Linked DNA regions of Arabidopsis thaliana. The protein of the gene in region 1 interacts with the protein of each later gene in a pairwise test. Each region holds a gene or a part of one and is shown on either strand. Other genes may lie near its edges.

Region 1 (5,874 bases):
GTAGTTAGAGCCACCATACCCAAACTGTTGTCGTATCAAATCTTTAGTAATTGTACTATTCTAATGATCGATTCAAATATTATAATATAGAGATTATAGATAATTGTATAGATATTGTACGTTAAAAGAAATATGTATATATTACATGGAACATCATAGGGAATTGAATGTTAGTGGACATTACGATGTGAGACCGCCTTCAACTTTTTTGACTACGATAAGAACACAATTCTCGCTGTCTGAGAAGTCTATATACAAATGAAACAACTCCAATGTTATCTGTATATAATCAATAAATCATCTTGCAAAATTTGATCGTCGTACTTATATATTAATTACTAAATAGCCAAACAAAGCTTAAGTTTTGACCATCTTAAAACACTATTATTGATGAAGCGCGAAACGCTATAATCATTAAAGACGCCAAACTCAAAGTTTCTTTTCTCCCTTAGGTTTGCAACTTTGCATCTGTGTAATTTTAAATTTAACTACAAATACATATTAAAGTAATCATATATGAACTTAAGAACTATACTTTCTCAAACTAATGTGTCGTTATGTTTTTGATAGTTGTTCTTTCTTATAAATATACTAGCTCAACTTTTTGTTCGAAAAGTTGTCTCAGCAGTTACTTAAATCAAGAGTGTTGTCCATTAAGGCTAGACAACGTCCATAGGTGTTTATAGAAAGAAAAAAAACCTTCCATAGGTTTCCATTGCATTAACACAAACGGGTTGATTGATTGCTCTCTCGCTAATTTTTTTTAATACTAATAGTCATCATAAACTTAAAATTAGAAACCAAGGTTGCTTTTTGAGGTTCCCAAAACTTGGAACCCGGACTTGTGTAAAAAGAAAGAAAAAAACAACCCAAAAAACTATGCAAAGTAGTGAATGTTGTATAAAAGCATATATCACAACAACAAAAAAGAATATTGCAAAAAAACAAAGTATATGATATGTTTGGGGGCATCCAATACGAGAGTTTTGATATCTCAAATCCACGACATGCTATCTTTAACTTTTTAATGTACAACTCACAACTGTTTTATCATCCAGTACCAGTAATTGATGACTAATTGGGTGCTGGGTGCATGCCACTTTTTTCTATATATCTAACAAATCTAAGTCATAAAGTTTCTCTAAACCGAATTAAATCCAAAAATCTACTTATTTAGTTAGACTCGAGAGTAGGTAATGAGATATTCTGTAAGAAATTTGTAATTAAACAAAGATGTTATGTAAATTAACTGGGATGATTCCAAGTAACATAAGCCACGTGAACTTTGACTTTGACACCGAATTGATCAATTTTAAAAACAAGATGCAGTTTATATGCGAGAGAGACAAAGATATTTGTAAGTACTGTTATGTTGTCTAGTGAAGAGTACTTTGTTTATAAAAACAATGTTTGGTTTTATTCACATTGTCATTTTATTATTTGGACCATTTTCGTCTTGCTTAGCATCCCGTGCATGTCTCATCTAAATCCTCACTATTAAGACATTTTAACGCACACTACATGAATATTATAAGTTTTTCCTTTCTATTTCTGCTGGTGTCATACGTACTGTTCATATAGACATCAATAAGTTTCTTGTACAAACAACTAGACTATGCAAAATTATAAGAGCTGGATTGTATATTGTTAAAACTGAGGCATGTATGAGTTGTACGCTTAAAAGTGAAATATTTTTTCGGTCGCAGGTTATATACTAGAATGCAGTTAGATTTTAACTAAGAAATAAATTTTTGACCAAAGCATTTACAGTATAATGCATGATTTATGTTACTATTGCTGCTGTCTCATTTTCAGATTTCAAAAATCAGATCTAATTGACGTGATAGCATATAGAGGCTAGTAAAACACTATGAGTTTATACTTTTATTGATGGTTAAAATTATTTTTACATCTTGCAGTCATCTTTCAACCATTCTTCATTCTAGAAGGAGTTCTTGGTGACTTAATAAATGGCTTTTTACAAATATTTTGGTGTAGGACTTATATTATACATGTGTGTGGCGAACCTTCTGGTTCTATCTATTAAATGCCTTTTCTTTTTGTAGTTTTTTATGATTCAGAATTCAGATATTTGATTTTGTAATATTATATTTTCTTATAAAAGAGAATAAAATTTCAAATTTCCTGTCTACACTTGCCGACCAACGTTCCTCAAGTGTCACATCTTCTGTGCAAGAGAGACAAAACTACAATCTGTTCACACAATGTCATGATGTTTATAATTAATCTTATCATCTTCATTCATATCAAACTAATATCGGCCATCCATCCGTCTCAATAATGTAATTGCATACAATCTTTGTTTAGGACTTGCTAGCTATTTCAACTTATTATTGATTACAGATTAGATCTACAATTTGTAAAGAACTTCTAACTTCAAAACAAATACAAAAAAAAGAAAGTGAATGTAAAATTTCTAGTGTCATAATTTGGAATAGTTGAAGCATTGAAGTTACAATATCGAACGTTAAAATATTGACACTAGATAGTACATTACCACCAAGGCTTTCTGATTATTCTTATCATGTTATATGAATAGTAAGAAATTACGTAGAACGCAATTTAAGTGTGTGCGAGTCACCACAAATTAAAGGAGAACAAATTCAATGTTTCAATCGCTGGTTCCGATATACAACTTATGCATGCCATGGCATGAATGCGAGATCCAATTATATACTAATATATACACACAAAAACATATGTAAATATAGATGGAACAGAAGCCTAGATAGGTTAGGATAAAGAAAACGATCAAATCTGCAAAGATCAGTCTCTCCCAAATCCCCAAAAAAAACAAAGCATGCATTTCGTAATAAACAACTCATCATAAAACGACACATAACTCGAAAACCTCTCCTCCCGACATTTCATCAATTCATTTCTCTTTTTATTTTCGAAAAGATGAAAACTTAATAAATTATTATGAACAATCTTACTATATATATGGATATATACACAGGCCCTAAAACGTAAAACAGTTGAGGACTTTACATCTGAACATGTCTTTCTCCGTGAAAGGTCGAAGCTTACGTGGCAACAATAACGGAGGAACGGGGACGAAGTGCGGGAGATGGAATCCAACGGTGGAGCAGTTGAAGATATTGACTGATCTGTTTCGAGCCGGTCTTAGAACTCCAACAACTGATCAGATTCAGAAGATCTCTACGGAGCTCAGTTTCTACGGCAAGATAGAGAGCAAGAATGTTTTCTATTGGTTTCAGAATCATAAGGCTAGGGAGAGGCAGAAACGTCGTAAAATCTCCATTGATTTTGATCATCATCATCATCAACCATCAACTAGAGGTAGTCTCTTTATATATATATATATATATATATATATATATAATTATATATCATTATTGTTTTATATGATATTTCTATATATTTAATGGATAATAGTGTGTTATTATAGATGTTTTTGAAATAAGCGAAGAAGATTGTCAAGAGGAAGAGAAGGTGATAGAGACATTACAACTCTTTCCGGTGAATTCATTTGAAGACTCCAACTCCAAGGTGGACAAAATGAGAGCTAGAGGCAATAACCAGTACCGTGAATATATTCGAGAGACCACCACGACGTCGTTTTCTCCATACTCATCATGTGGAGCTGAAATGGAACATCCACCGCCATTAGATCTTCGATTAAGCTTTCTTTAAGTCATTGACCACAATAACAAAAGAAAAAAAACAGATGCTTTAGCCTTTAAAATGTTGTTGTATTTTGAATTATGACATATTATCCGATGCATGGTTTATGAGATATTTTCCAATGCATGGTTTATCAAAAAGTTGTCTCATTTTGTTTGATATAAGAATCTATGTTATGGAATGCGTATATGTATATCATCATATAACTAAGGTTGTGATTTGTTAATGTATTTTTCTATATTTTTTAAAAATAATTTAAGAAAGACATCATTAACGAATAGTTCTATTTGCATCACAGAAATACTAGAAATATCAGATAAACTTAAAACTTAAAAGATGTTAAAAAAACAAACTTAAAACTTATCTCTATCAATTTACAAAATTTACATCATCTCGAAATACTTAAGTCTTGATCAACAACCATTAGACCAAAAAACTTGCACAATCTTATCAGAATAAAACCAACTCTTTTAAACGAACAGATTAATATCCTTAATATTATTTTACCCAGACCCATTGTCTTTTAGGCCCATATAATTGGGCTTTATAATACAGAGAAGGCCCAAACTTTGGTTAAACCCATAGTGCCTAGAGAAGATTAATTAAAGGGGTTTTCCTGGAGAAGAAGCAAACTCAAGTTCCGTCGGAGATAAAACGGAATCAAAAGTTGAGGTTTTGATCATTCCCGGAGAAAGAAATTTAGAATTACTCAAGCGAATTTGATTAACCCAACAATGGATGTTATAAAGACGCAACAAATATCGGCAAGGACAATCGAGAAAGTGATCGTTCACCCACTTGTCTTGCTTAGTATCGTCGACCATTACAATCGTGTAGCCAAGGACACGAGCAAGCGCGTCGTCGGCGTTTTGCTCGGAAGTAGCTCTCGTGGTACTGTTGACGTCACCAACAGCTACGCAGGTGCCTTGATTTTACTTTTTCCTTTCTCTTTGTTCTCTTCGATCTCACAGATCTCTGAAAGTTTGTTAAGCTCTTGCTAATCTCATAATTCAATATGTTTAGTGTTCTTGTCTGAAAATTTACTTAAGTTTAGTTTTTTTTAGCTTTTGGGTTGCAAAATTGTCTTACTTTTAAAATCGTTGTGTGATACTTGGATTCAGTCAAACTTGGTCCTAGTGGCCTAATTCCATATTGGAGTGATGAGTATAATATGGTGGTTGAGTTAATTTCTTAGAGAATGAAACAGATTTCATTTGATTTTGCACAGTACATTACACTGTGAGCATGTTCATAAGTGCGTTGTTGTTACTTGCACATCACTTGTTTGACTTTTTGTTTGTGGTTTTACAGTGCCTTTTGAGGAGGATGACAAAGACACAAGCATATGGTTTCTTGATCACAACTACCACGAGTCGATGTTTCACATGTTCAAGAGAATTAATGGTATTGCTCGGGAAATATAATGCTTAAGAGTATATATGTGGAAAGCCTCTTTTTTGACTGATTTTCATATTTGCTTTCAGCTAAGGAGCATATTGTGGGTTGGTACAGCACAGGTCCTAAACTTCGAGAGAATGATTTGGATGTTCACGCTTTATTCAATGGGTAAGACCAAAATCAGTCTAAAATATGAGATATGATGGTCTAATCTAATATATGGTTTGGTGGTCTGTTTAAGTTATATATGTACAAACGTTTTAAAGCATTCACAATCTATCTCTCCTCTCTTGCTAGACCTTATTTCTGTATTACTTCGGTTTTAATCTTAGTTTCTGGTGTTGCAGCTACGTTCCAAATCCAGTGTTGGTCATTATTGATGTCCAACCTAAAGAACTTGGAATCCCCACAAAAGCATACTATGCGGTTGAGGAGGTGAAAGAGGTAAATACCAGCCAATTTTCTAACCATTTTACTTGCTCGACTGTTAAGTTGCATCTGACATACTTGATTTACTTTCTGCATTAGTTATATCCATATATCTAATTGCCTTGATCCGAACTTCTCTCTCTGCAGAATGCTACCCAGAAAAGCCAACAGGTTTTTGTACACGTGCCTACAGAAATTGCAGCTCATGAAGTTGAGGAAATTGGTATGTCTACATGGGGAAACAAATCCTTTGATAGTTTGATTTCCTTATTTCAGAGCATAAGAATGATGAGGGAATTTTTTTTTTTGTAAATGCTTCCGAGGAAACTCAATGGAGTCCTTCTTGCTTCGCTTACGCCAGTTGGTTGGTCTTGAACA
Region 2 (9,804 bases), on another chromosome or scaffold:
ATGTCCATCGTGGTGATGATGGTCGTGGTCATGGTTGTGATCATGATGATGATCATGGTCGTGATCATGGTGATCTCCCTTATCATCTTCATTCACAGAGCTTTCGATTCTGATAAAGCAAAGAACACCTTAATAACTGTGTGAAGCTACAAGACACCAAACTGAATATTATCATAAGTTAAACAAGAAGCAGACCTCTCTAGATCAAAACCTCCAATTCCAAGAACATAATCTAAGTCAACATTTCCGTACTTTGTTCGCGTCATCTGAGCCATGCTGTTTATTGTCTGTAGATAACCATAGCAAATACGTTAACATTATAACCAAGAATGGTCTGAGAGACTAACATATAATCATCTAGTGAAATAAATGAATACGAAGAAGATGTGAGACCGACCTTTATGCGTTGTACCACCGAACCTAATTCCGCCTCACCAACAAGATCAGTCTGCAACAAAGTACAGTCACTTTTCAGAAATTGGATATGCCAACAAAAACAATACAACCGATAACTTCTCAATATATTTGAGTAAAACATATGGATCCATCACTTAGGACGTGTCAAAACCATTTGTGCAAATGAATTTATTTGTAAACTATAAACTATTTGAGAGAGGAACGACCTGAATCTTATGATAGAAGAGATTCAACCACTCAAGATCACAAAAACTATCACATTCTCTTTGAGACAATTGTGTTCAAAACTTTGGTTACCTTGTTAACTATGATACGATCTGCATAAGCTATTTGTTCAACAGCCTCATTGACAACACCTTCGGGTTTGACCTCGTCTAGATGCAAACGAGCATGCTTAGCATCAACTAGAGTAACAACACCGTCCAGTTTGACATCATTGAAAATTTCTTCCTCGGCATAAAAGGTTTGGATAATCGGTGCCGGGTTTGCCAATCCTAAAAAGTGAAAATAAACATAAGATAGTCATTACTCATTCCCCAGATTCTCTAAGCATACTAAATGAAAATGCCCCCTTTCCCAACCTGTAGTCTCTATGACTATATGATCGAACTTTCCTTTCTTGGTATTGACTAATTCTCCAATCATCCTGACAAGATCACCCCTAACAGTGCAACAAAGGCAGCCATTGTTGAGCATCACAATATCCTCAGCTCCAATAGATTTAGAAGCAACAAGTGACCCATCAATGTCAACTTCACCAAACTGAGAGAATTCACATGAAACATGAATTAGAAAGCAACACCATTATAACTGAATTCAGGCGAGGATAATAAGCTAACCTCATTCTCAATCACGGCTATTCGCTTCCCATGATCTCTGGTCAGTATATGATTCAGCAATGTTGTCTGTGGAAAAACAAAACATTGCAGTATAATTAGTCCAACATTTCTTTTACTTAGCAGGGCTAATTTTAAACCCTAGAATAGATATGAAATGATGAGAAACACTGACTGACCTTGCCAGAGCCCAAAAAACCGGTGATAATAGTAGCCGGAATCCGGTTATCTGGCGGAATCTTAGTGGTGACATCAGAATCTTCAGTCTGCGTAGCTGAGGCGGAGACAGATGAGAATCTTTGACGGCGGACCACCGGGGAATAGAAGAAAGACGGCGTCGTTCTGACGGAAACGGTGGTAGCTCTGGGCCTGGAGAGAACAGAGACGGCGGCAGAAGAAAAGCGATAGTTGAAGGCGGCAGAGGAACGAGGAGCGGTGAAAGAGAGGAAGGTCGTAGCAATCTCTAGTGTTGATAGCGTCGCCATTTTAGTTAAAGAAAGCAAGCGAGAGGTCAATGGCGATTGGCGAGTTTAAACCTCGTCCCACTCTGTAGCTTCTTCTAGATACACACACCAGATAATTTTCACTCGATTTTTTTTCTCTGTCTCTTCTCAATATTTTCTCAAAATTACTATTTTTGAAGATATTTATCATTGTAGATATATAAGTCTGTGGGCCGTGGGCCGCATAGGCCTTAGTAATTCTTCCTTCGTATCTCAAAACGAATATCCAAACCTATCTCGAAGCTGCACGTGGCATTCAATCCTTAGTTCGTGCTTAGATTCGGAGTGCAAAATTGCAAATTCGTCCTTTTGCAAAACTGATATTTCTCAAGACCAAAATATCAGAGGCAAGCAACATCGAATTAACCAATTAAGAAGAACTTGTAAGCTATTAATTCATTTACCTTGTTAGAATGCTTTCTTCCCCCCACACAAACAAAACAATAATAAATCGGAAAAGATCTAAAACCCCCACAAAAAAAACAGAGTAAGAAACTGAAGCAGATCATCTCTGAGGCTGGTCAGAGGCAGAAGCTCCAACGGAAGGTGTAGCCGTGACAGCGCTGGCTGAGCCATTTTCAGGCGGTGGAGCTACTCCCCATTTACCTTCTGACTCAAGCGGCTCGAATATATGGACCCCTCCGTCTGACAGACCCACTGCAAACATGTTGGATTCTTGCGGATGAGCCGCTATCACCAGTGGATGGACATTCGAGTTGCTGCACAAAACATCAACATGAAGACTCAAGATTCATGATCCAACATTGCACTAGTTTATATTCATTTCATTAACTCACCTGAGAGAAGCTGGCAAATATGCAGAGGGATTGACTCTGCAACGCAATCGAAGGTTTGCAGAGCTGAAGACGCATATTGTAGCGTCCATGAAACTTGTGTATATCAATTGGCTATCACATGAGAATGTGGCATGTGTTATTGGAGCTGCTGATTCACGCACAGGCCACTGGAATCAAAATAAAGACATTTCTTTCTTCTATAAGGGTTACTCAGATGCAAGGAGAGAGAATGAACATATATAAAGACTAAAACCTGTTTCATGCATTCAAGCTTGGTTGTTTCGTATATAGCGAGCTGAGTTTCATGGACCACAAGGAAGTGTACTTGATCTTGATGAAACTGAACACGCGTGTCTGACAAAGAAGACGTGGATCTTCCCTGTGGAATTTGCAGAACCTTGCTTTTCTGCTTCTCCCATCCATCCGTGTTCCATACGCAAAGCTGCATACAAAAACCAAAAGATTCACACTAAGACTTCTAAGGATTTGGATTCTTTATTACAAAACATGAGATGAATCAGCACCTGAGCGTCTGCTCCAGACGAAACCAGAACGTTTAATACATTGGAGAAAGCGAGGCCGGTTATTCTCTTAGAATGTCCTTTAAGCTTGCTCTTAACCTCATCAACACGAACATTGTAAATCTGTATTGTACTGTCATCCATCCCGATCGCAATGATATTGTTATCTTGAGGGTGAAAAGCAAGAAACGTTGCGGCAGGAGGAGGCGGCATGAAAGTAGCCATTGTCTGCGCTTAGCCAACAACACAATTAAATGTAACAGATGAAGCATTGTTTGCATACATTAGACATAGTGCTGTCTGTAGCTGGGATTTTACCTTAAACGTCATCATATTAAACAAAGAGATCTTTCCTCCCGATGCTGACATCACGTAGGAATCATTTTTCGATAAAGCAAAACAGGGTACGGCTTCTTCTGGATTAGTTTCAGCCACATCGTTTGTCATTAAGATCCCGCTCGCTGGTTGCCACTGCTGAGGAGGTAAAGAAGCCGTTGCCTACACAAAATCTCAAATTGAATTTCATCATGATTTCAACTCTTTTGGCGATCTTAAAGGAAGATTTTAGACCATAAGTACCTTCCCAGTTGCATTACGGTCATTTCGCTGCCACTTCCATAGCAGATGAATAGCATTTGATGCCAATGCCAAAATTGCATTTCCCGAATTTGTGAAAATCAATCTCGATATCTGCTCAAGTTTTGAGTCATTAGAATCAAGCCATATAAGTACAGTTATGTCAGTCTATGTGTTAGTACCTTGGTGACTCTCATATTCTCAGGGAGTCTCAATGAACGGCACTGAGAGGGTTCGCCGACTTCAGTAAGCTTCCATACCTTAGACTTATCATTTGATTCTTCGGTAATCACTGGCTTCACATCCACCATATTCCGCGAATCTCCATTCTGTTGGAAAGGTAAGTGATCAACAACGATGATTGGACCCAGACCAAGAGATAGAGAAACTGACGGAAAAAGTATCGATTTTCGTACCATTCCAGGGATGGAAACGACAGAGGCAGGTCTCTCTACCATCGGAATGCTGTTGATTGCAGGCTGCAAATGTACATGAAAAATAAAGTGTTGAAGAAATTTCAAATTGGGGGTTAGTAATTTGCTTGTTGAAGATCCAGTGAGCACAAAATTCAGTACCTTGGAGGATTCAGAAGATAAGTTCTCGACTGTGTGCAATAGCCTTAGACCATCTGAGTTTGCCATAACCTTAATCATATTGTCATTTGCGGAAACAGCCAAGAGAGAGCCTTCCTTGTTAAATCTGATCCGTGGACTTGCCTACAAAACATAGAGAGCCATGATGGCTGCAAATGAAAACATTCGGTTCCCAGGGAGAATCGAGGTATTTGTTTGCATACCTGGAGACCTCCATCAGCATCAATGGCAGTCAAAAGCTGTATGGTGTCCATATCCCAGAACTTAATGGAGAAGTCGTCACCCGCAGCGAGATAACGGTTTTTAGTAGTATCAAACTGGACAACACCAAGGGAACGCTTGTGGAATCCTTGATAAGTTCTCTTCACAGCTCCTTCGCTTTCATTCCACTCAACTATGAACGATTCCCCATCTTTACTCGTCCCACAAGAAAATAGCCTATCCATGTGAATATAATAAAAAATAGATTTTAAATTTATTATCACTTCATGACGATACAGAACAGAACCACAACATAAAGATGATGAGAATCATGTTATAACCTAGTTCCATCAGCACTGTAGGCCATCGTTGTACACCAGCGACCAGGAGCTTCGTAGTCAACCCGAGAACCCATATTATCATATAACCATGCTTTTATTTTTCCGTCAAGAGCAGTTGAAAAGATAAACTTAAGCAGAAGAAGAAATAAACAAGTCAAAACCAAATAGAAACGAATTTCAACTTGTACTTAGCAAAAATGAAACCGTATAAATATTGCTACTTTACCTGAATGTTTTCCTTGTAGTGAGGGCAGATAGAGTAAACAGGAGCTTCATGGCCTTCAAAAGTATACCGTTTTACACCCGTTGCAGCATCCCAGACCTTAATTCACAGAATTGATTAGTCTGTTTTTAGAGTTCCAACAAAAAAAAAAAAAAACAAGAGTTAAGGAAATGAAAGAAGAAAAAAAATACTGAACCTTGATGGTTTTGTCATCACCACAAGTAGTAACACATAGTTGCTTGTTCGGAGTGGAAAATGCAATGTCATTGACACCGCCAACATGAGCATCAATCTGAAATAATAAAAAATGATTTTCATTACAGGAAATGAAAGAAATACTCCTAAAATGTTGTTGTAAACTATATCACACCTCAAGGTGTTGCCTCATGTCTTCACCACCGTGATAAGAGTATAGCTGTACAATATGTCTCGAATAAGCAACTCCTGCAGTTGAAAACGTGCGCATATGAATACTCAAATCGGTTGAAAGAGCATTTGTAATCTCAAGTCTTACCGAATAGGGAACCGTCCGGGCTCCAAATCACACGGTTGACAGAAACGACAGGTTCTTTCACCAAAGCAGCCTATAAAGACCAGAATTGTTGGTCACTGAAGTTTCAAATAGATATTAGATATTAATATTCTGGTTGATTTTCACAAAAGAAGACACCTGCAAGGGCATCGAACATTTACTCAAGTCCCAAACTTTGAAAGTCTTCTGGACTAGACGTTCTCGAGAACCGACTTCCCAGAGCCCAATATCCCCTACATTCGTACCAACTGGAACAAAGAAAATTGAAGCAAGAAACTTCTGGTTTTACAAAATTTCTGATGATGTATGTTACATGAAATATGCATACAGACCAAGAAACAGACCTAGTAGCAGAGTCTGTTTAATAGGATGGAAATCCATGCTCATGGGAGATGAGCCTTGGCTCAAAGTTCGTGCAACTGTCTTGGGCAAGTCATCAGGTGCTTTGAAGGTTTGATTATGACCATGAGCCTGCCCCGGGAATGTCATTGGTAACATGTTCACACCTAGACTCACCTACATATGGGGAGAAAGAAGAAATACGTTTAAAGTCTAAACTAGTACTACCAATTATGTAAAATTGGTATTGATAAGAAAATATATAATATTAATTAAGATTTTTCTCACCTCGTCAGAGATTCCCATAGGTCTGGTTCGCTTTGAGACATGGTCTGAGTCACCTGATGGATAGTCTACAGCGGAATTAGAAGGAGGAGTTCTCGGGTGTTTCAAGGCTGCTAAGAACCAAAAAGGAGAACATGTTACATAGATCACAGGTGAAACTTAAAGGTTCTGAAAAAAAGGCGAGGATAAAATTTAAGACTATAGTTCCACACAGCTTTTATAAAGAAACACCACATTTGATAAGCAAATAACCTTGGATGGATGGAGCACCAAGAGCAATGGGTCCTCCAGACACAGCTGGATGTGGGACAGAGGAAGGACTAGACATCCAACCAGCAAGAGGTGTCGGAACCGGAGAAGGTGTTGGTTGAAAAGGCTAAAGACATAAAGGTAAGTCAAGCACGGCATGTAAAGGTAACTATAGAGCTAGAACCAAAAGCAGTAGAAATGGCACTTATAGAAAATACGAAAAATCAGGTGGAAATTGACCTACCCCGTGTGCGCCTAGAGGAGGAAATCCCTCGGCTTTTGGTAATGATCCAAGAAGCGGATTGTTGACAGGGGATGGTGCTCGTGCATCATTTGGTAGGCGGCAGGAATGATCGACAAAGAGAGTCTTAATATCAGGATTAGGCCTTGGGTTCTTACAAAGCTGGTGTTGCCAATTTAAGCTGCAGGTTTATGTAGCCACATAGAAACAAGGAGTTAAAGTAGCTGACAAGAAGAAAATTTGTTGAAGTGAACAAGAAAGGACAAAGAATACCTCTGATTAATCAGAGTCCTGAGGCGTGAAGTTCTAAGGGTAGGAAACTGCAATTTATCACGGAATAAAGGATTAGCTTCAATCAACTTCTTGAGTTCCACCAACATGATAGCTCTGGCGGACTTTGTGTCCCCATACTTGGATAACTGCTCGTTCTCCCTGAAGTTTTCTAAGGTCAAGAGCTGAGTGATTTCCTTGAAAAGCTCCTCATTAAAAGTGGAAAACACTTTCAAATCTTTGACTAAAATATCGACAGCCTTGGGACGATCATGCCTAGATAGAAGCAGCAGCAGGTGTGATTGATTGGCAATATGAAAACATTTGATTCTTGTTGTTGTTGAGAGACACAAGTTACCTATCCAAGGCCTCGAGATACTTCTGCTTCCTAATCTCGAAGAAAATCTTCATGGAGTATCGATTATCATCAACTTTAGTAAAACCAGAGAGATACTTCTCAACCTCATCCCAGTTACCATTGTGCACCTCATCCTCAAAATACTTCATATTGAAGAAAAACCCAGATTCTTGTTCAAGCCTAATTAATAATCAATCAAGTTAATAATAATGCCTAATAAAAGACAAAAAGGAAAAGAGAGATCGGACATACTTATGAACAGTCTCTTTAAACTTCTCTTCATCTAAAAACTGTAAGATCAAGAAGACGAGCTCTCTGCTCAGAGAAGACATGATTGATTTTGCCACTCAGTCCGATAAAGCTATCAAGTCAGATGCAGAAAAACCCACCAGATCTGCATATCAATATAATGGCGACGATGATAACCTTACAAAACCATCAAATCATCCCAATTTACTGGGTTTCAGATATTCCTCCATTTAATTATTATTTTTAAAAAATGAAAATAGACACAGCCTCTTAATTACACAGTATATAACTAGATCTTTACAACTATCCTCCGGAAAATTCTCCAAAAGTCTCTATTCCGGCGGATTTAATTAGTGTTTAATTGGGCTACACAAAAATTAGGTCTTCCTAGTATTATTATTGTCCACCGAATTAAATATAAAGCTTAAAATGGCCATCTTTTTCACTTCCATGAGACAAAAACAAAAATCAAAAACCCAGAAAAGCTACGATTTAGATATTAAACCAAAAATGAAAGACCTAGATACGTTACTTGCCATGAAGAAGAAGAAGACGATCGATTTCAGAAACAAAGGCCAGAGCTTCAGTTTCTCTCTCCTGATATTGAAAGAGGCCAAGGATTTGGGTTTTTTGGACTCTCCTCTCTCGACCAGAAAGTAAGAAAAAAACTAATGGAAAAAAAAAAAACAAGTTTTCTCTCTCTCTCTCTCTCTCTCTTCAGGCTTATTTATACGAACATTAAAATCTTGCAGAAATGGAGACTTTAATTTAAAACCAAAAAATAAAAAGTGATTTTAATATGCGAAGGTGACGGATAACGGAGTCTAATAAGACAATGCACCTATCACACGATAAGGGAGCTGATTTTGATAAGCACGTTGACTTATATATAAGTACAGATTAAAGTTTAAACCAGCATATACGACTTAGCCGGCTACAATTCTCGACGTTATCGGCTCAGAATCTCTAGCTGCTAGCTGTACTCCAAGTAGACATGATCCTCTGTGTCACAACATGAGTACACCCTCGGTGAGTGCCGTCGATCTTGTACGATGAACCTTAAAGGATATTCATCCAACGGTTTGAAAGCGAAGTAGCTGCGTCCCCACATTTCCCTCATAACACGACAAAGCTTTTCCTTCTGAAATGCATCTTTAAGTTCCATTGCCCTTGAAAATGACAAATATTTACCTAAATTGCCATTTTTATTCTTGAGATGCGGTACTCGTTGAACAAAAATCACGTGATTGAGAGATAATGGAAGAGGTTATCAGTTAAATTCTCCCGACATGATAACTCTTAAGCCTTCTCGTGATTTGGAGTCGTTAATAATTTAGTGAGACTCGTTTAATTTCTAATCATTTAACTGTTTTGGATTGTTTTTGTTAATCGCATAATGTGATGTGAGCTATATATATATTGACTATTGAGGATTATAATCGAATTTATTTACTCGATGACTAATAAAATGATTTTGTTTGTTTATTCACAGCGTAATTGGTATTTTCGTTATATATATTCGACGGTTTAATTACAATGAACCAATATGTTAATTTTATAATGTGTCTAGTGTTATTTTATATTGGTCTTTCAGACTTTGACAAGAAACATCGAGTTTGACGTCATTACCGTAAAGTATTTTGGCACCAAATGAAGATCAATATTATTTGTTTTAATTGCTCAAGAATGATGATGGTTGCTTTTGCTAAAGTTATGGGTGCACAAGAAAAGTATATAACTTTTGAAAAGCACATTTTTATTCTTTTAATTTACACGGTAACACGAGTATCTCTACTTTTCTAGTAATGCTTACACAGATTGATATCTTGATTATTTGGATATAAGTTCATTTGCCGATTTAGCTTGCTTTTTTATTCAAATACTGATTAACATGGAATGCAAGAAAAAGGAAAAAAAAACCTTCTTCTTGCCATGGCGAGTGAGAGGACTACTAAAAAGAATACAGTAATTCCAAACTGATAAATATGAGTTTTTACGTGTGGAAAAAAAAAATTTGAGTATTACCTTAGCTCTGCAAGATATATTAAGAATACAGCAAATAAAGAAGAAATCAAATAAGCATATTAGATTTGTTTTCACAAACTGAAAAATCCTCAAATACATAAAAAGAAAAACACATAAAAATCCAAACTAATAAATATGATTAATGATTCACTGATTTTCGCCTGAACTAAATTATGGTCGTAAGTTTTTTGTAAAAAATTGTTAAAAAAACAAAAACTGTCTTATCGAGACTTATAACAAATGATGAA
Region 3 (6,950 bases), 1.8 Mb from region 1:
TAAAATAAAGAGCAAGAGACACTTTATGCATTCTACTCTACCTGAATATTCTCTTTCTGGTGTGGGCACACGGAATAAACAGGTGCCTCATGACCTTCAAAAGTGTGCAATTTATTTCCGGTAACAGCATCCCAGACCTGTATAGAAATTATTTATATAAGCAGGATGGTCTCATTATACAAATGTAAAAACATACGTCAAGATGCAAACCTTGATTGTCTTGTCTTCTCCACAAGTCACAACACATAATTGCTGGTTTGGTTGGGAGAAAGCAAGATCGTTGACATTACCAGCATGGGCATCAATCTGTAATGATAAACCAAAAAACAAACATCAGCGTGTTGGGATCCCAGCTGTTTCAAAGATTTAAGAATGCTGAACGGTGATAAAAACATATATTCAAAGATCCAAGAATGCTGCTCGATGATTATAACAAAGATTTAAGAATGCTGAACGGTGATAAAAACATATATTCAAAGATCCAAGAATGCTGCTCGATGATTATAGCAAACCTAAACAAAAAAACTACTATCAGAATCCTACAGAAAAGAAAACAATAATAAACCAAGGAACTATAAATTCTTACAGTAAACAGATTCCATGCCTATATCCACATATAACAATGAATATATATATAAAAAAACATAAGCGGAATGGTAACCTACTAGGAAAAAAGACAGACCTCTAGATGATTCCGTAAATCCTCGCCACCATGATATGAATATATATGCACAATATGCTTGGAATATGCGACACCTGAAATAGGAAGTAGACGTTACAACACTTGATTTGCCATAAAAATTATATGACAACCAGCCTCAACCCATGAGGGACACAAACACTTGACTAACGATACGCCCATAAGATCATAGAATGGCTTACCCAGTAGACCTCCATCAGGACTCCAAACAACTCGGTTTACTGCTGCAGTATACTCGCTAGCAAGTGAAGCCTAATGAACAAGAATGAAATCAGACAACGGGTCAGCAAAAGATAAAGATGTCCTTGATATAGTACGTGGCAATATTGAAAGCTTTTATGAGTAATCTATCTCAGAAAACTAGCTATTAACCTTGATATGTTCCTCACTAAAAAGAGAAGAAAATCCTCTGTATAGTTTTAACTAACTAACAACAAATCTCCCACCTCATTCGACTGTTACAGTAGATCAATAAAGAGGAACTATACCTGAAGGTTCACAGTGCAAGTAGCAAGATCCCAAACTTTAAAGCTTCTAGAAACGAGCTTCTCCCTGCTACCCACCTCCCATATTGCAATATCACCAAGATTGGTGCCAACTAGGAAACAAATGTAAATCCAAGATAAAGTAAGCAGATTGTACTGAGAAGATGAAAGTTATGCTGTCTGATACAAGTTTTGCAGGTTTCTCTGGCATAAACCAGAATAAAACAGAAGAATGATGCGTGCTTCAGAGGAGAAAACCAACCAAGGAGCATAGTTTGCTGTACTGGATGAAAATCCATGCTCTTAATGGCAGAACCCTGACTCAAAATCCTGCTAACGTTTTTGGGCAAGTCATCAGTAGAATAAGTTGCATGAGCATGGCTTTGCCCTGGATATGTGACTGGCAAGACATTGACTGGAAGATTATTAACCTGTAAAATGTTCAAAGAAAGTTGTGACTTCTAAGAAAAGTTGAGAACTTAAGCTGAAAAACGAACAAGCAGCCGTTAATACCCCATCTGAAATACCAAAAGGTCTGGGTCTCTTCAACACACTTTCAGAATCTGCCGTCTGATAATCCATTGATAGGCTATTAGTTGGAGGACTCCTGGGACGCTCACGCTTTAACATAGACACTGCAAGGAAAAAAAGAAGAATAAATAGATTATGGTAAGCTATGCAATTGGTAAACACACACAAACTGATCTCCACGTTATGGACTACAAAAAATGAAATAAATAAAAGTTTCAGACCTAAGACAGCACTTCAAGGCTATCTGACATTAAATTAAATGTTTGCTTCTCTATCTATTATCTATAAACAAGAGTATTGTGAAATTAAACAAAACGGCTGATATGAGCATATAGTTCTCTCTCTCTCTCTAATCCACCATAGAGACAGTTTACCACTAAAAACTGCTTTAGTCCGTAAAAGAAAAGAGAGACAGTTTACCACTACAGCTCTGGAAAATGTAACTCAGTAAATATATTTATATCATTTCATGCAGTTCAGTCAGTCAAAGAAGCACAGATAACCATCCAACTAATGATGATCTAAACAAGGGATGGCAAATTACATAACCGTATAAGCTAATATTTGGTAAACTAAATCTCCAACACACATATTTCAGAAGAATAAAATTAGTAGGGACAACATTACCAGCACTGTTGGGGGCACCTAAGCCGATAGGCCCAGCGGAAACAGTAGGGTGTTGTACCGATGGATTAGGCATCCATCCTGCAAGAGATGTTGTAAGAGGAGCTGGTGTTGGCTGAAATGGCTGAACAAGAGCATACAAACTAGCAAAGTTAAATTCATGTGCTAAAAACTAATCCAACAGAAGCTGTAATCTTAGAGCAACTTACACCGTGAGCACCTAATGGTGGGAAGCCTCCAACTTTAGGGACTGAACCCATTAAATGATTAGTTGTAGGGGAAGGAGTGTGTGCACCATTGGGATGCCCACACGTATGGTCAACAAATAGTGTTTTTATATCCGGGTTAGGCCTAGGATTCTTGCAAAGCTGATGTTGCCAGTTCAAACTATGATTCAGCAGAAGCAACGTTCAGTTAGTTGTTCCACCAAAAGAAAAACGGGAGCAAAAGTTAAAAAAACAAAGCTTGTACCTTTGATTTATTAAGGTTCTCAATCTAGAATTCTTCAAACTGGGAAATTGAAGTTTGTCTCGGAAGAGAGGATTTGCTTCAATCAGTTTTTTAAGTTCCCCAAGCATGATACCTCTTGCGGACTTAGTATCTCCATACTTGGAAAGCTGCTCATTTTCCCTTGAATTATTGCAAGTAAATGAAACATCAACACCACAAGCGCATGGTTTATAACAATCCAGTGGTCAATGAAACCATAAAAAAAAAGTGCTAAGAAAGTAAAGAATGTACCTGAAGTTAGTCAAGGTTAAAAGCATGGTAATCTCCTTAAAAAGCTCTTCGTTGAATGTCGAGAACACTTTCAACTCCTTAACAAGAATATCAACCGCCTTGGCATGATCTTTCCTATGGTAAAACAAAAGATGGGAAAACAAATCAATACTCAAAACCACACTTCAATTCAATAAAACTAAACAACACAAGTGAAACTTTACTTGTCAAGTGCTTCAAGGTACTTCTGCTTCCGAATCTCGAAAAATATTTTCATAGAGTATCTATTATCATCAACTTTAGTGAATCCAGAAAGATACTTCTCTACATCATCCCATTCACCAGCTGTTACACTATCTTCAAAGTACCTCATGTTGAAGAAAAAACCAGACTCTTTCTCCAACCTAATTAGTCAAAAAAAATATCCAAAGTTGTAACTGCTTCTGGATTAACATTGAAGAAATAATGCTAAATTACAAAATCAAAATTAATTAATCTTAATCCCTACTTTACTCTAATCCCGACAATCAAAGGAAGAGGGACCGCAATTAAACAATGATATAATATAAATTACCTGTGAACAGTATCTTTGAATTTCTCTTCATCGAGAAACTGAAGTATTAAAAACACGAGTTCTCTGCTGAGTGACGACATATCCTCTTCTTATTGCTCGCTCTCCGAAAGTAACAGATCGATCACAATACCACTCATGAACCACTAATCAAACACAAAGACACAAAGAGAGAATTAGGGTTTTATAAAAGAAAACATCTTCTTCACACCCCAAAAAAGGAAAGACAGATCTAAAAAAAAAAACGAAATCGATCGAATTCGAAAGACGAATCCCCCCAAACCCAGGTGGCACGAGATGTGCACGTGCGAGAATATACGAGAGAGGCTCCCGAGAAAGAGATTAAAGAAAAAAAGGAAAGTTTATAAATATAAATACCTGTTGAATTTTGACTTTGAAGAAGGAGAGAGACAAAGCAGAGAGGAAGAAGAGGAAGAAGAAGAAGAAGAAGAAGAAGACTTTGGAGAAGAGAGAGAGAGAGACGTGGGGGCTATTTATGGCGATAATTTCTGATGCTGTCTCGTTTTCGGAGTTTCCTTTTTTTTTTTTTGGATTTATTGCTTTTTATTTTAATTTATGAGTTTTTATGATTTAATTAATTTGTTTTTGTGTGGTCGTTGGGCTTCTATTTTTTTTAATAGAAGCGTGTATTTTGTAGATAGGAATTTACTCAAAAAGCTTAATCTCCCCACTATAATAAGTAACCTTCGTTTTAATTACTTTTTCTAAAATTTATTTTAATTTAATGTTTTCGTATTTTATTTTAATTTAAGTGACGTATTGATGTTGTTGCGAATCTAGTACAACACTGCTGTCTAATTTAATGCTCTCTCGTTAGGTTTTGAACGTAGCTGGGGATTTTTTTTTGTTTTTCAAACTATACATTAAAGTAGAGTATCTCATAATTGGTTTATTTCTGTTTCTGTATAGAATTTAGTGCCATTATATTATTTTTATGACATCAACTAACCGTCAATTAATATTGCAAATATTTTTTTTATGAATTAATTATTTAAGTAATGGATTTTGAAGTTTTTAATTTAGAGAAGAATAGCAGTAAATCAGATGTGATATTTTTATTTCCAGTTATGTAGTACGCAAATTAATTAAATTTTATTTTCTTCATCTTTTATTGTCAAAAAAACAAATTAAAGGTTTTATGGATAATTTACTTTTGGAAAAATATAAATCTTATGTGGTAACAAATAAGTGAATTTTACAAATGTGTATTCTTTCTTTTTTGTTATAGTAATTCACAGTAAAAAGTGGAGTTTTATTCTATAATACGGTTTGTAACGCATTTCCGTGAATATATTATGCTAATTTGTTAGGAATTTAAGAGATATGGCCTATTCACATGTTTAGTTTTGTTCTATTTATAAAAAAAAAAAAAATCAAAATTTATATTTGTACTTTATTTTTTTTCCCATGGATGTTTTGGCTAGTAATTACTATGCTACTTCAACAGTCCATCCACATTATGGTTCTAGTAGGAGTCATATCAAATCTTCTTACAAGTATTCCTACACCAGTATTGCTTACATTGGTTTGGGCTTTTAGGTCTAGATTATCGGGGGAATTGACTGGCCCAATTGCTAAACATGATTGGGAATCAATTTCGTCCCAAACATGTTTTCCTTGAACAATCACTTTGATGACAATGACACACCCAGACAGTTATCAATGACTGCAATTAATCAGCAAATGGTTCCATAAGCCCATCTGCCCATGTTGGTGAAGAAGCATCACCTCAAATATATAATTTTAAGATGAGAGAGCAAACATTCCTTTCTGATCGCTCTGAATATTTTAGCAATTTACTAAACGTAAAGTTATTTTCATAGCTTTAATTCAAAATTTCTGTAACTAGAGCTAGCAAAGAAACAAAGACTTGTGTTTAATATTATATTTTTGAAGAAGATAGTAGAATCTTCTGTCTATTTGTTTAATATTTGAAACATCGAATAAATGGTTTCAATGAGTTGTCCTGACTCATCAGCCGACCCTTAACAATGACTACAACAACTTCAAATTTTAAAACATCAAGTATCTTCAACAACATACCCTTTCCGTTTTATATTAAATAATTGGTAAAATCCAGCTTATTTATAATTATGTTATTTCTGTATAATACATTACAGAAGAGTAAAACAAAAACTTTAAAACGACACATATAATAAAAAGGAAAAATAAATAAATAGATATGAGAAAAAAATACAGTTGGAACTTAATATATACACTTTTATACAACGGATACTAACGTTCAAAAATTTTATTCTTCTTTTGGTTAAAGTTTTATTTATTGTTTATGACTTTTCCATATCAGCTTCTTTTTTAATACTATATATATATTTTTAAAATTTGTTTATTTTATGCGAGCAAAAAAAAAAAAAAGTGTGCAAAAATAATAAAAAAGAACAAAATAAATAGTCTACTTGTACTTCTGTCTCTCTCTCTCTCTGTTTATCAATCTCACATCGAGACGAAATTAGAGCTACTCAGACTTGTTCTATTAAACTGTTACCTTCTCCAGACAAAGCGTTACCTTTTTTTTTGGTCCGTACGAGGAAAAATCTAGGAGACAGAGCTATTTGTTCGAAAGATGCAACTTTTAAATAGCTGTTGTGGAAAAGGATTTGATGGGTATGTTTGAATCATTGACTCGATAATTGTTACTCTTCCTGTTTCTCTCTATGGGTTTGTCTGTTTTATTTCCTTTGTTTGGGTTGCTGCAAAATTCTGTTTATTGGTTAAATCGGTTATGGTTGTTCTTCTTGATTAGGGTTTAAAGATTCTATATCAATTTTGGATGTTTGAAATTTGGAGCTTATCTTTTGTTCAATTCTCTATGCCTTCCCTTTATCTCTAATGTTTTAAAATGTAAAGTCTGTTCTTTTTTTTATCATCCTCACTATATAATATATCACCTGATTGATCCTTGAAAGTTTCATCATTAATAGCAATTTGAGTAGTTTCAGGGTGGTCTTATTCCTTCTAAAGACATGGTTTTGCAAGGGATAATTGATTCAACTGTTGTTCTGCGTTTCATAAGTTATTTGTTTGTTAATGTGTTGATGAATGATCTAAATATAAGTTTTTGAGGATACTGAGATTAAATTACACAGGAAGAAGAAAGAAAAGGAAGAGCCATCTTGGAGGGTATTTTCACTGAAGGAACTTCATGCAGCCACCAACAGTTTCAATTACGATAACAAACTCGGTGAAGGTCGATTTGGTAGTGTCTATTGGGGTCAGCTATGGGATGGCTCACAAGTAATTTGACCTCAACATGTTATCTAGGACTTGCTTCTTGTTCAAA
Region 4 (9,905 bases), on another chromosome or scaffold:
TCGCAGGTTTCATATTTTCATCAACCAAAAACATGAGAACACACCCAAAAAAAGTACCTTTGCGAACTTTAGCATTGGGATGCCCAGTTCGGTTCTTAAGCTCAAGCAAGGTCAAACCTTTCTTACTTGTAGCGAAGCCATCTCTTTCTGCTGCCACACTTTGCTCATGAAGTATAATTGCTGCAATAGAAAAAAAAGCAATTTCTCATAGGAAGAAGTTAAAAAGTTTGAAGTTGCAGGAGAAAGCTTATACCTTTGGATTTAATCTCTGTGTTAGTTGCATTATTTGGTGGAGGTAATTTTCTCCCGAGCTTTCTCTTGATTTTCTGAAAACAGACAAAGTTACTTAAAGCCCTAAAAACAGAATAGTGTTACTTAAAACCATAAAGAAACAGAACCTTGAAATCGATTCCTTTCTTTTGCTGCTTCCTTGCAGGAGCCTTGGAGCGAGACATTTATTTTGTATCTTTGTAAATCAAATCAAAGCCTAGGAGCTGGTTACGAAGGAAGAAGAACCAACCCGGAGAACTGAGAATTTTGATGGTGATGAAGATGATGATGAATCGAGAGAGAAATTGAGGTTTAAGAAGATTTTTGATTGATTCTTAAAATAAATCAACATCCAAAACCGGGTTACCGAAACGATTTAACTAAACCAGAGATATGAGGAACTGAGAGGAGTAAACCATGTTATCGATGAATCTTCCTCTTACAATCTTATACCACAAGGAACGATAAATTAGGGTTTTCTGAAACGGAGAACTGTGTTAGTTGGTTAAGTCGTTTGATTAGACCGGTTTAGATGCTTTAAAGCAAATTGGCTAAAACGGGGCCGGTTTAATGGGTGATTGATTTTTATTTTCTCACAAGTCAACGTACTGTACCACTAGAAGAAGTGTAGTTAAATCAAACCCACGACTCTCTCCACAAACACCACTAACTCTCTCTTTACCATTTTCATCGAATCATATGACGATATCACTATCTTCATCAAACTCTAAAATCATCCCTGAGACGAGCAAAGACTCGCCAAGACTCGTCTGTGTCAACGTCGTAGAAGTTTAGGGTTTCAATGGAACAAGGAACGATCAAGATCAAACTACCTAAACCATCAGAGATAACGAGGAGGCACAAGAAAGAGGCCGATATGGGCAAGAAGATAAAGAAAGAAGAGAACATGAAGAGAGATTTCATCAGACGGAGAATGGTTTTTCGAGTTAAGAAGATGACTTCTGTGATTTCCGGTGTCTTCAACCGCAAGAAAACACTTTCAGGTGAAAACAGAGAACAGAGAGATGGTTCTGAGGGCGATGAGACCGTGTTTGTTAAACTCAAGCAAAACCCAATTCAGAAGAAGGGGAGTTTCTGGGAAAGCGCAAGAATTCGACTGAAGACACTCATCTTAGGGCAAAGATTGAAGAGGAGAAGAAACCGAAGAAGAAGCTTAAGTGAAGGAATGGAAGAAGAGGAGCTGTGCAAGAAGAGAATACTAATGGGTGAAAGATGCAAACCAATGAACGGGGTTTTGCAGTATGATGGTGACGGAATTCTCCTACCCGAGCCATGACGGTTGATCGGTTTTCGTCAGTATTAGTCCTAGTGTAGTTTCAGTTTCTTGTTGATTCACTCATTAGAGATTTGCAGGTAGTTTATACAAACTTTATTTCTTACCAATTTTCAATATCTTGAAATCTTGAAATCTTGAAACTAAGGCTACATTTGAAGATCTAATGACACTGCCTATAAATAATCGAGATTAGTTACATTGATGGATTATGAGGAAGCCATTCTGGTTTGTTCATCTTTGTAACTGTTCTGGAGTTTGGTTGCTTGTGGTGGATGGTGAATTGATAGCTTCAGAGGGTGGAATCATCCCCCACTTGCCTTCACCCTCTGTCGGTTCCATCATCTTCACTGACCCGTCATTCAAACCTACCGCAAACTGGTTTGGGTCTTGCGGGTGAGCCGCCACAACAAGAGGAGACAAGCCTTGATTCCTGTGAAAGCAAAGAGAATCAATGAGAAGAGTTTATAACTATTTTGGCTTATGAAAATATACCAATTTCTCATGTTTCAGAAGTCAATTTAAGTCTATTATACAGATTCATGTACCAAACCTTACAAAGTACAGTGATTTAGAAATAAGAATCTGATGAAATGTTGGATAAACTTACCCTTGAGGCAAGTAGGCGGATGGAGAGATACGACATCTTAATCTGAGACTGTCCGCGTCAAATACTCCAATGTTACCATCGCGGAAAGTGGTGTAGATCAGCTGGCTGTTGCATGCGTACACCGCTGAAGATATAGGAGCAGACAGCGAGTCTTGTGGAATCCACTGAGACATGAAAACAAGAGAACATAAGTCATTACAAATTTCAAAATAATGATTAAGAATATGTATATATGACCTTGCATTTCATATATACATGCCAGGTCAGAGATGATCCATTTTATATAAGTGGATTTACAGAGATGATCTCATCATAGTCATAGATACCTGTCGGATACATTCCATCTTGGAAGCATCAAATACCGCCAGTTGTGTCTCGTGGACTACCAGAATACGCAACTGATCCACATGAAACTGAACCCGCGTGTCTCCATTGGCGGCTTTTCCTGCTGGCATTTGTATTGCAACGGATTTCCTCTTCTCCCATGTGTCAATGCTCCAAAAGCAGATCTAAGAGAAGACAACAGGAAGAATAAGTATCCTCCTAGATTAGATAAGTCTAATGGTAGAAAATCCAGCAAGGAAACAACACAAAATAATCAAGCATTTTTCCCTTCAGTTGAGATATATTTACTACAGGACAACAACAACAACAACAAGACGCAGCATAACACACCTGTGCATCAGCACCAGATGAAACCAAGATGTTGAGGGCTGTAGAAAATGCTAGGCCTGTGATGCGTTTCTGGTGACCCTTTAGCTTTGATTTGACCTGATGGAACACAATATGCAAGTTTCAGATCGTTGATAGAGTTTTAAGGCAACATTAGCAGTGAGGGGAAAATTAAACTGTAAAACATATGTGAAGCTATGAGAACCATTTCTTCAAAAAACGTAAGGTTCACAAGTTTTTCCTTGTCATAGATCAAAAAGACTACATAAGTGGCAATGGTTAGTACTAGAAACTACTTACCTCATCCACTCGGACATTATAGATGTGAATCGTAGAGTCTTCCATTCCAATGGCGATGACGTTATTGTCCTGAGGATGGAACGCCAAAAACGTTGATGCTGGTGGAGGCGGCATGAATGTTGTCATCACCTATAAGGCCAATAGTTTTTTTGTGGAAATTAGAACAACCAAAAGAGTTTACTAGATTAGTGTGAGAACATTTTCAGTTAGAAATCTTGTGGCTTTTTTTAAGTTCATATAGATAATATATACCTTAAAAGTCATCATGTTGAACAACGAGACTTTTCCTCCAGCAGCAGACATGACATATGAGTCGTTCTTAGAGAGAGCGATGCATGGGGCAGCGTTTTCAAGGTTTACACCAGACACATCATTGGTCATAAGAAGACCACTGTTTGGTTGCCAATGCTGAGGAACAACAGTAGCAGTTGCCTGCATAATAAACAGTACTTAAATAAAACCGCACACAGCATGCATTAAGCTATCTCTAACTCTTTAAAACCGCAGACAGCATGCATTAAGCTCTCTCAAACTCTTTTTTACGATTACCTTTCCACTAGGGTTCTGCTCATTGGGAACCCACTTCCAGAGTCTCTGGATACCATTGGAACCTAGTGCCAAGATTCCAGCACCGGAATTCGTATACAGAAGCTGAACAACCTGCTTTCCCACGCAGCATGAGAAAATTAAGCCTCAATTTCAAAACATTTATAGAAATCCAACAACTTTCTGAGAAAGATAACTGCACAAACCTTTGTGGAAGAACCAGCGGTATCGGGTAAAGTAGCTTGGAAACACTGGGAAGGGTCCAAGATTTCAGCTAATTGCCAAGATTTTGGTTTGTCTGTTGAGTCATCGATTCTCGACTTTGAGGGATCAACTCCATTCTTGAGGATATTCAGAAAAAAAAGATTAGTAAATATTTTTTTTAAACATGACAAAAAAATCGGAAACAGTCAACTACTATAGTCAGAGAATAGTAAACTACAATTTCGACAAATGGAAGTTCACTTCATTTACAACCGAAAATCCAGAACAGAATAATAAATTATAGAAATGGCTAGAAACATAGCATTTAATGAGTGATTTTACCAGCATTTGTGAGTGTCTAACAGGAGAGCCTCGTTCAACTTTACAATTGACAGACGCAACAGGAGCACCAGGAACCTAACAGAATATACCAAAGTGTGTAAACCGAGACAGCTTGTAATGACAGTGGATGTAAAAAAGGGAAAAAATGTAATACAAAGTTGAGAAACATTACAGCTTTGAAATCAACTGGAGTCCTCATCGTTTCAGAAGCTGGAGTTTCCATCGCTCGAAGAGATCGGAAACCAGCTGGATTAGCTAGGATCTTAAATCCGTTATCTGCCGTAGTAACGGCTAGAAGATTGCCGTCCTTGTTAAATCTCAAATGGGGAAGAGCCTGAAGTTGGGACAAGTTATATGCAAACCTAAAAAGACGAACATCCAAGCAACAAGCCATGGGAAAAAGAATCTTTGGGACTTACCGGAAGTCCACCCTCAGCATCAGTGCTAGTCAGAACATTGATGTTGTTCATATCCCAAAATTTGATTTGTCCATCTTCACCAACAGCCAGAAAATGGTTTTTTGAGGTATCGAACTGAACCACACCTGCCAACTTTTTCTGAAACTCTTTATACGTCCTTTTAATTGATCCTTCACTTTCATTCCACTCAACTAGGAAAGAATCTCCATCTTTACTCGTTCCACAAGAGAACAATCTGAAGGGGGAAAAAACATCAGAAAGCACTGAAAAGGTAAACTTAAAACAGAAAGATAAGATTAGAAACTCAAGGACACAACTCAGTATCCTCCGGAGTAAACAAAAGAATCTGAAGATTTTGGAAACTGAGGAGTGAAGAACAAGCGGTATAGAAGAGGGAAATGTTTATGAGTTTAAGATCTTACCTAGTACCATCAGCACTGTAAAGCATCCTCGTACACCATTTACCGGGAGCATCATAGTCAACTCTGGAACCCAGATTATCATAAAGCCAGGCTTTTATTTTCCCATCTATGGCGGTTGAAAATATGAACTGAAATCCAAATAAGAACGAGATGTATTTTGGTAAAGAACAGAAATTCATAGGCAAGATAATACTATATGAAATGTGTCGTCTACTTTATTGTTCTTCAAACGGATTGGTAAAACAGTATAATAATTGATGTAAAATATAGTTTGATTCAATCCTTGCCGCACCTGAATGTTCTCTTTGTAATGAGGGCAAATGGAATAAACTGGAGCGTCGTGGCCTTCAAAAGTAAAATGCTTCCGACCAGAAACATCCCATACCTGTTCCACATTGATCAAGTTAGCCAGCTGCATTGATATCTAACAGTGAAACTTTGTGACTCTTTATCTCACCTTGATTAATTTATCATCTCCGCAAGTAATTACACATAGTTGTCTGTTTGGATTGGCGAAAGCCAAGTCGTTCACAGCACCGACATGGGCATCAATCTGTGAAAAAGTGATCTAGTCTCAGTGGGATATTATTACATCGCAATATTTCTCGTACAGATCACAAGTATGCTTACCTCAGTATGTTGGCGAAGATCATTAGGTCCAGAGAAAGCGTACAACTGAATTAGATGTTTTGTAAACGCAACCCCTGCACAATAAGAGACTGAGACCAGAGACCATAGACAACATACAATTAAAATCCAACAATGCATGACGGGAAGCTTACCAATGAAATTTCCATCCGGACTCCATGCAACGCGAGTGACAGATATCGGTGTTTCTTTAGCTATCAAAGCCTGAATGATGCCAAAAGAAAGGCAAGTATAAGAATCTTGCACAGCAACTAGTTTGCTGATACGTTTTATCTCCAACACTTCTCATAGCCATTTGGTTGAATTCCGCCTTTATACATCAAACACATAAACTAAAAACTTCTTAGCTGTAAAGACAAACCTGAAACTGATGTGAGCAATTAGACATATCCCATATCTTGAATGGCCTTGAAACCAGCCTCTCTCGAGCGGCAAGTTCCCACAATGTGATTTCTCCCGTCGCAGATCCAACTGATGGCATTCAAACGGTCATTCAGAAAGCCAAATAAGAGATAACAGAAATATAACTTCAAACACAGTTTAGAATTTGTATTCTTTTTTTCAAACCCCCATACCAAGAAGTAACGTGTTTTGCATAGGGTAGAACTCCATGCTTGTCACAGTGGACCCTTGATGCAGCGCCAGAGCTGCCTTTGTTGGCAAATCTTCCAGCGACCATGGAGCTTGCTGCCTAGGAGCAGGATATGTCACCTGGAAAATGATAAATGCTTAGAATTTTGAGAAGATGCAAGAATTATATAAACAGCTTTCCAGAAAAAGAAAAGAATTCGCGTTACCTCCTCCACAGATGGAGCAGGGCGGAGACGCTTCATTAGTTCATGATCAGGATTCTGATAATCTACTATACCTGGAGTTGCTGGTGGTGTTCTTGGTCGCTTCAAGATTGACACTTTTTGGAAGAAAAATAATAAGTTTTTGATGGAAACTGAAATGATAGTTATTGATAAGTCGAGGATTAGAAATCTAGAGGATCGTCAAAAACTAACTTTGATTCTGAGGTTGAGGCATCAAGGCAGGTGTAACAACGGCAGCTTGGACAGCAGAAGCACCAGAGGCAGCAGCCATCCAACTAGCTAAAGCACCAGCATTAGCAGCAGCAGGACCAGGTGGAAAGGGCTACATGTAATACAGATTCCACAAACATTAAGATTAATTTAGATTCAAAAAACATGATTAAAGCAGTCAAACATCGAGGTTTCTTACAACATGAGGTCCAAGTGACGGATAAGCTGCTGGCTTCGTCAAAGTAGTAACAGGCTGATTGACTGCTGAAGGTGCGAGAGGACCATTCGGAAGTGTGCAAGTGTGGTCTGTGAATAGAGTTTTAATATCTGGGTTTGGCCTAGGATTCTTGCACAACTGGTGCTGCCAATTGAGGCTGCAAGAGAACATATGCACAATGAATCATCCAACAACGAAGTCATCCAAACCTCATCTGCAACATACAGAATGGTCATGAGGAAAGAAAAAAGAAACACACCTTTGATTAATCAGAGTCCGCAGTCTCGAAGATCTCAAAGTAGGGAACATCAATTTATCACGAAAAAGTGGATTCGCTTCAATTAGTTTTTTAAGTTCGCCTAGCATTATGCCCCGAGCAGTTTTAGTGTCTCCATATTTTGAAAGCTGCTCATTTTCCCTGCAGATTCATGAAAATCATTGATGTCAAATTTCAATCCACAAAACGCAAACAATCGAGAGAGAAACTCGAGTATCACACCCTCTTTCACATCCAAACAAAAACAGTCTACAAAGCATCACGAACTCGACTTGGACTGAACCTAAACCAAGTCTCATATTCCTACTTTCCATAACAACAGAAACATCAACAAGGAGAGATCAAAATTCAATATATCATACCTAAAGTTTTGCAAAGTTAAGAGTTGAGTGATTTCTTTGTAAAGCTCCTCATTGAAAGTGGAGAAAACTCTCAAATCTTGCACTAGTATCTCAACTGCTTTTGCCTTCTCTTGCCTGTAACAACAGAGAACATCAAACTCTAAAACCACAAATCTTCAAGAGTAAAAAAACAAATAAGACAGCTTATAATCATACCGATCAAGAGCCTCGAGATACTTCTGCTTCCTAATTTCAAAGAAAATCTTCATAGAGTATCTGTTATCATCAACCTTAGTAAAACCTGACAAATACGTCTCAACATCATCCCATTCTCCAGCTAGAACTTTCTCATCAAAATACTTGGTATTGAAGAAGAATCCTGACTCTTTCTCAAGCCTATATTTAACAAATTACAAATCAGTCAATCCCAAAATTCAGCCTCTCACAACACAACACAAAACAAACCATATAAATAGACTAACCTGTGCACAGATTCCTTAAATTTCTCTTCCTCCAGAAATTGAAGTATCAGAAACACCAACTCTCGACTCAACGACGACATTCTCAACGAATCTCAAATCTGACGAGAAACGAAGAAGAGAGACGACGAAAGAAACACGAATCCGAGCTCTGAAGACACGAGCCCAGGTAAAGACTCTGATTTCGAGGATTTCTAGGGTTTTGAAGAGCTCTAGCTTTTAGAGAAAAATGGAGAGAGAGAGAGAGAATATATAAAGAAGGAGGAGAAGATTGGGGGATTGAGAAACTTTAGACCTCGCTTTCTTGGACGCGTTCTTCTTTGCACAGAGACATCGTTCTACCGACTTATCAGATATAAGCGGAGTCTTCGTCGGTGATAAGTAGGCTTCCTTATAAGAGAGGTAGGTTAAGTTATTATCAAATTGAGTGATAAGTTGATTTGGAGATAGAGTGGCGGATTCGAAAACAAAATTCAAATAGTGTGAATATTCTGTGCACACGTCCAGTCTGGTCCCCACATTTTTCTCTCTCCTTTATTATGTCGCTCTCAGCTTTCGATGCACTCTTCGTTTGGCTTTTCTCATATTATCCTTTTTTTCTTTTTCTCGCGATATTTTTGAGATCTCTTTTTCGCAAGATTTAATTAAGTGTTCGTGACAATTACAATGTGGACAATTCAACATCTCGCAGGTTACGTCATATATAATTATATATACTCATATTATAATCTTTGCTTTTTTTTTTAGGCATACACCAGGAGAATTACTCGTGTTCTCCATGGCGAAATGAGATTATTTATAAAAGAAAAACATAATATGGATTTAGAAAATAGATATTTGAAAAGAAAAATAATAAAAAAAGGAAAATAATATTTTTAATATTTCTTTTTATTTGATTTTTTAGGAAAAACATAAATATTAAAAAAAGACATATTAAATCTTGTTTTTTAAATGTACTATTTTTTATAATTTAAAATTTTTAATAACTTTAAACCAATAATATTCAATAATTTTTATTGAAGTTTACAATTTATCAATTATAACTAATAAGTATTGTATTGAAAACCTATAAAATTAATCTTTTTGAAACATTTTTTTTCTAGAAAATCAAATAAAAGAAACATATGGAGTATGAAAATAACTTATTAAGTATATATAAAATAAAATTTTATAGAGGCCGAATACATTAACTTTATTAGAATTAAGATTTACAAGTATTTAAGAGATAGAAAAAAATGATTAGGATATAACAATATGGTTTACATGTATATTCTTTATACGTCCTTTTAGTATGGAAGTACTCGTGTAGCTCTAATTTTGGAACTTTTTTTTTGAAATATTGATTTCGCTAAAGATTTAGTGAATGTATTTGCTAACTGATCACCAATGGAGACATGAGTAATCTGAAGCATTCCAGCTTGAATTAAGTGCTATATATATGGTTCATTCGAGAATAGAAAACCGGATTGGTACCGAGGTAAGTGGCACCAACATTTTCACAATATATCATATATATTCTTTATACCATTTAGAATTGTAAGCTTTGGTACCATATAGAGGCTAAATGTATTGACTTTATTTTAGAATGAGATTTACAGGTATTTATAGAGAGATAGAAAAGTGATTAGGGTATACTAATGAGAACAATACAATTTACAAATATATCTTATAAATTTAAGGATAAATGTCAATTTTCATTTTTTAAAAACACGATAGATACAAATCGAGGTTAATTCTTCAAAACCTAACTTAAGTAAAATAAGAAATTTGATACTATGTTTCCTAACTTAAGTAAAATTTACTTATTAACATAAATGTAGAAAATATTTTTAAATTTGT

Evidence for each region.
Region 2: the proteins of WOX5 (region 1) and TPR1 come close enough for resonance energy transfer, tested with the Arabidopsis thaliana proteins (one study listed by BioGRID).
Region 3: the proteins of WOX5 (region 1) and WSIP2 come close enough for resonance energy transfer, tested with the Arabidopsis thaliana proteins (one study listed by BioGRID).
Region 4: the proteins of WOX5 (region 1) and TPR3 come close enough for resonance energy transfer, tested with the Arabidopsis thaliana proteins (one study listed by BioGRID).

Annotation. Positions count from the first base shown.
Region 1 is NC_003074.8:3,524,586-3,530,459, forward strand, and holds WOX5 (WUSCHEL related homeobox 5), read left to right. Parts: upstream 1-2,694; 5' UTR 2,695-3,020; coding exon 3,021-3,324; intron 3,325-3,433; coding exon 3,434-3,678; 3' UTR 3,679-3,855; downstream 3,856-5,874. Other genes in the region: MEE34 (Mov34/MPN/PAD-1 family protein), read left to right, coding at 4,404-4,590, 4,981-5,073, 5,154-5,235, 5,415-5,511, 5,644-5,719. UniProt on the Arabidopsis thaliana protein: Transcription factor, which may be involved in the specification and maintenance of the stem cells (QC cells) in the root apical meristem (RAM).
Region 2 is NC_003070.9:30,258,833-30,268,636, forward strand, and holds TPR1 (TOPLESS-related 1), read right to left. Parts: upstream 8,294-9,804; 5' UTR 8,068-8,293; intron 7,709-8,067; exon of another isoform or gene 7,677-7,708; 5' UTR 7,615-7,676; coding exon 7,535-7,614; intron 7,463-7,534; coding exon 7,283-7,462; intron 7,201-7,282; coding exon 6,928-7,200; intron 6,836-6,927; coding exon 6,658-6,835; intron 6,541-6,657; coding exon 6,417-6,540; intron 6,278-6,416; coding exon 6,168-6,277; intron 6,057-6,167; coding exon 5,885-6,056; intron 5,789-5,884; coding exon 5,679-5,788; intron 5,593-5,678; coding exon 5,523-5,592; intron 5,453-5,522; coding exon 5,379-5,452; intron 5,301-5,378; coding exon 5,205-5,300; intron 5,108-5,204; coding exon 5,012-5,107; intron 4,914-5,011; coding exon 4,786-4,913; intron 4,682-4,785; coding exon 4,447-4,681; intron 4,367-4,446; coding exon 4,226-4,366; intron 4,130-4,225; coding exon 4,067-4,129; intron 3,980-4,066; coding exon 3,833-3,979; intron 3,765-3,832; coding exon 3,654-3,764; and 12 more. Other genes in the region: PTAC17 (plastid transcriptionally active 17), read right to left, coding at 1-109, 196-287, 398-448, 715-911, 999-1,179, 1,257-1,322, 1,433-1,738. UniProt on the Arabidopsis thaliana protein: Transcriptional corepressor. Activates TIR-NB-LRR R protein-mediated immune responses through repression of negative regulators such as CNGC2/DND1. Negative regulator of jasmonate responses.
Region 3 is NC_003074.8:5,368,156-5,375,105, forward strand, and holds the start of WSIP2 (WUS-interacting protein 2), read right to left. Parts: upstream 4,135-6,950; 5' UTR 4,010-4,134; exon of another isoform or gene 3,778-4,009; 5' UTR 3,715-3,777; coding exon 3,635-3,714; intron 3,465-3,634; coding exon 3,285-3,464; intron 3,196-3,284; coding exon 3,082-3,195; intron 2,971-3,081; coding exon 2,812-2,970; intron 2,728-2,811; coding exon 2,550-2,727; intron 2,465-2,549; coding exon 2,344-2,464; intron 1,821-2,343; coding exon 1,699-1,820; intron 1,617-1,698; coding exon 1,448-1,616; intron 1,299-1,447; coding exon 1,189-1,298; intron 953-1,188; coding exon 883-952; intron 757-882; coding exon 683-756; intron 307-682; coding exon 211-306; intron 138-210; coding exon 42-137; intron 1-41. Other genes in the region: AT3G15890 (Protein kinase superfamily protein), read left to right, coding at 6,234-6,274, 6,757-6,904. UniProt on the Arabidopsis thaliana protein: Transcription corepressor of Zinc finger transcription factors GAF1/IDD2 and ENY/IDD1 in regulation of gibberellin homeostasis and signaling.
Region 4 is NC_003076.8:9,507,115-9,517,019, forward strand, and holds TPR3 (TOPLESS-related 3), read right to left. Parts: upstream 8,294-9,905; 5' UTR 8,150-8,293; coding exon 8,070-8,149; intron 7,984-8,069; coding exon 7,804-7,983; intron 7,723-7,803; coding exon 7,609-7,722; intron 7,388-7,608; coding exon 7,229-7,387; intron 7,127-7,228; coding exon 6,952-7,126; intron 6,865-6,951; coding exon 6,735-6,864; intron 6,638-6,734; coding exon 6,525-6,637; intron 6,439-6,524; coding exon 6,303-6,438; intron 6,199-6,302; coding exon 6,089-6,198; intron 5,932-6,088; coding exon 5,710-5,931; intron 5,633-5,709; coding exon 5,537-5,632; intron 5,465-5,536; coding exon 5,372-5,464; intron 5,208-5,371; coding exon 5,080-5,207; intron 4,893-5,079; coding exon 4,658-4,892; intron 4,573-4,657; coding exon 4,411-4,572; intron 4,314-4,410; coding exon 4,239-4,313; intron 4,034-4,238; coding exon 3,899-4,033; intron 3,807-3,898; coding exon 3,696-3,806; intron 3,579-3,695; coding exon 3,399-3,578; intron 3,276-3,398; and 11 more. Other genes in the region: AT5G27010 (ARM repeat superfamily protein), read right to left, coding at 58-180, 254-326, 399-455; AT5G27020 (uncharacterized protein), read left to right, coding at 1,073-1,567. UniProt on the Arabidopsis thaliana protein: Transcriptional corepressor. Negative regulator of jasmonate responses.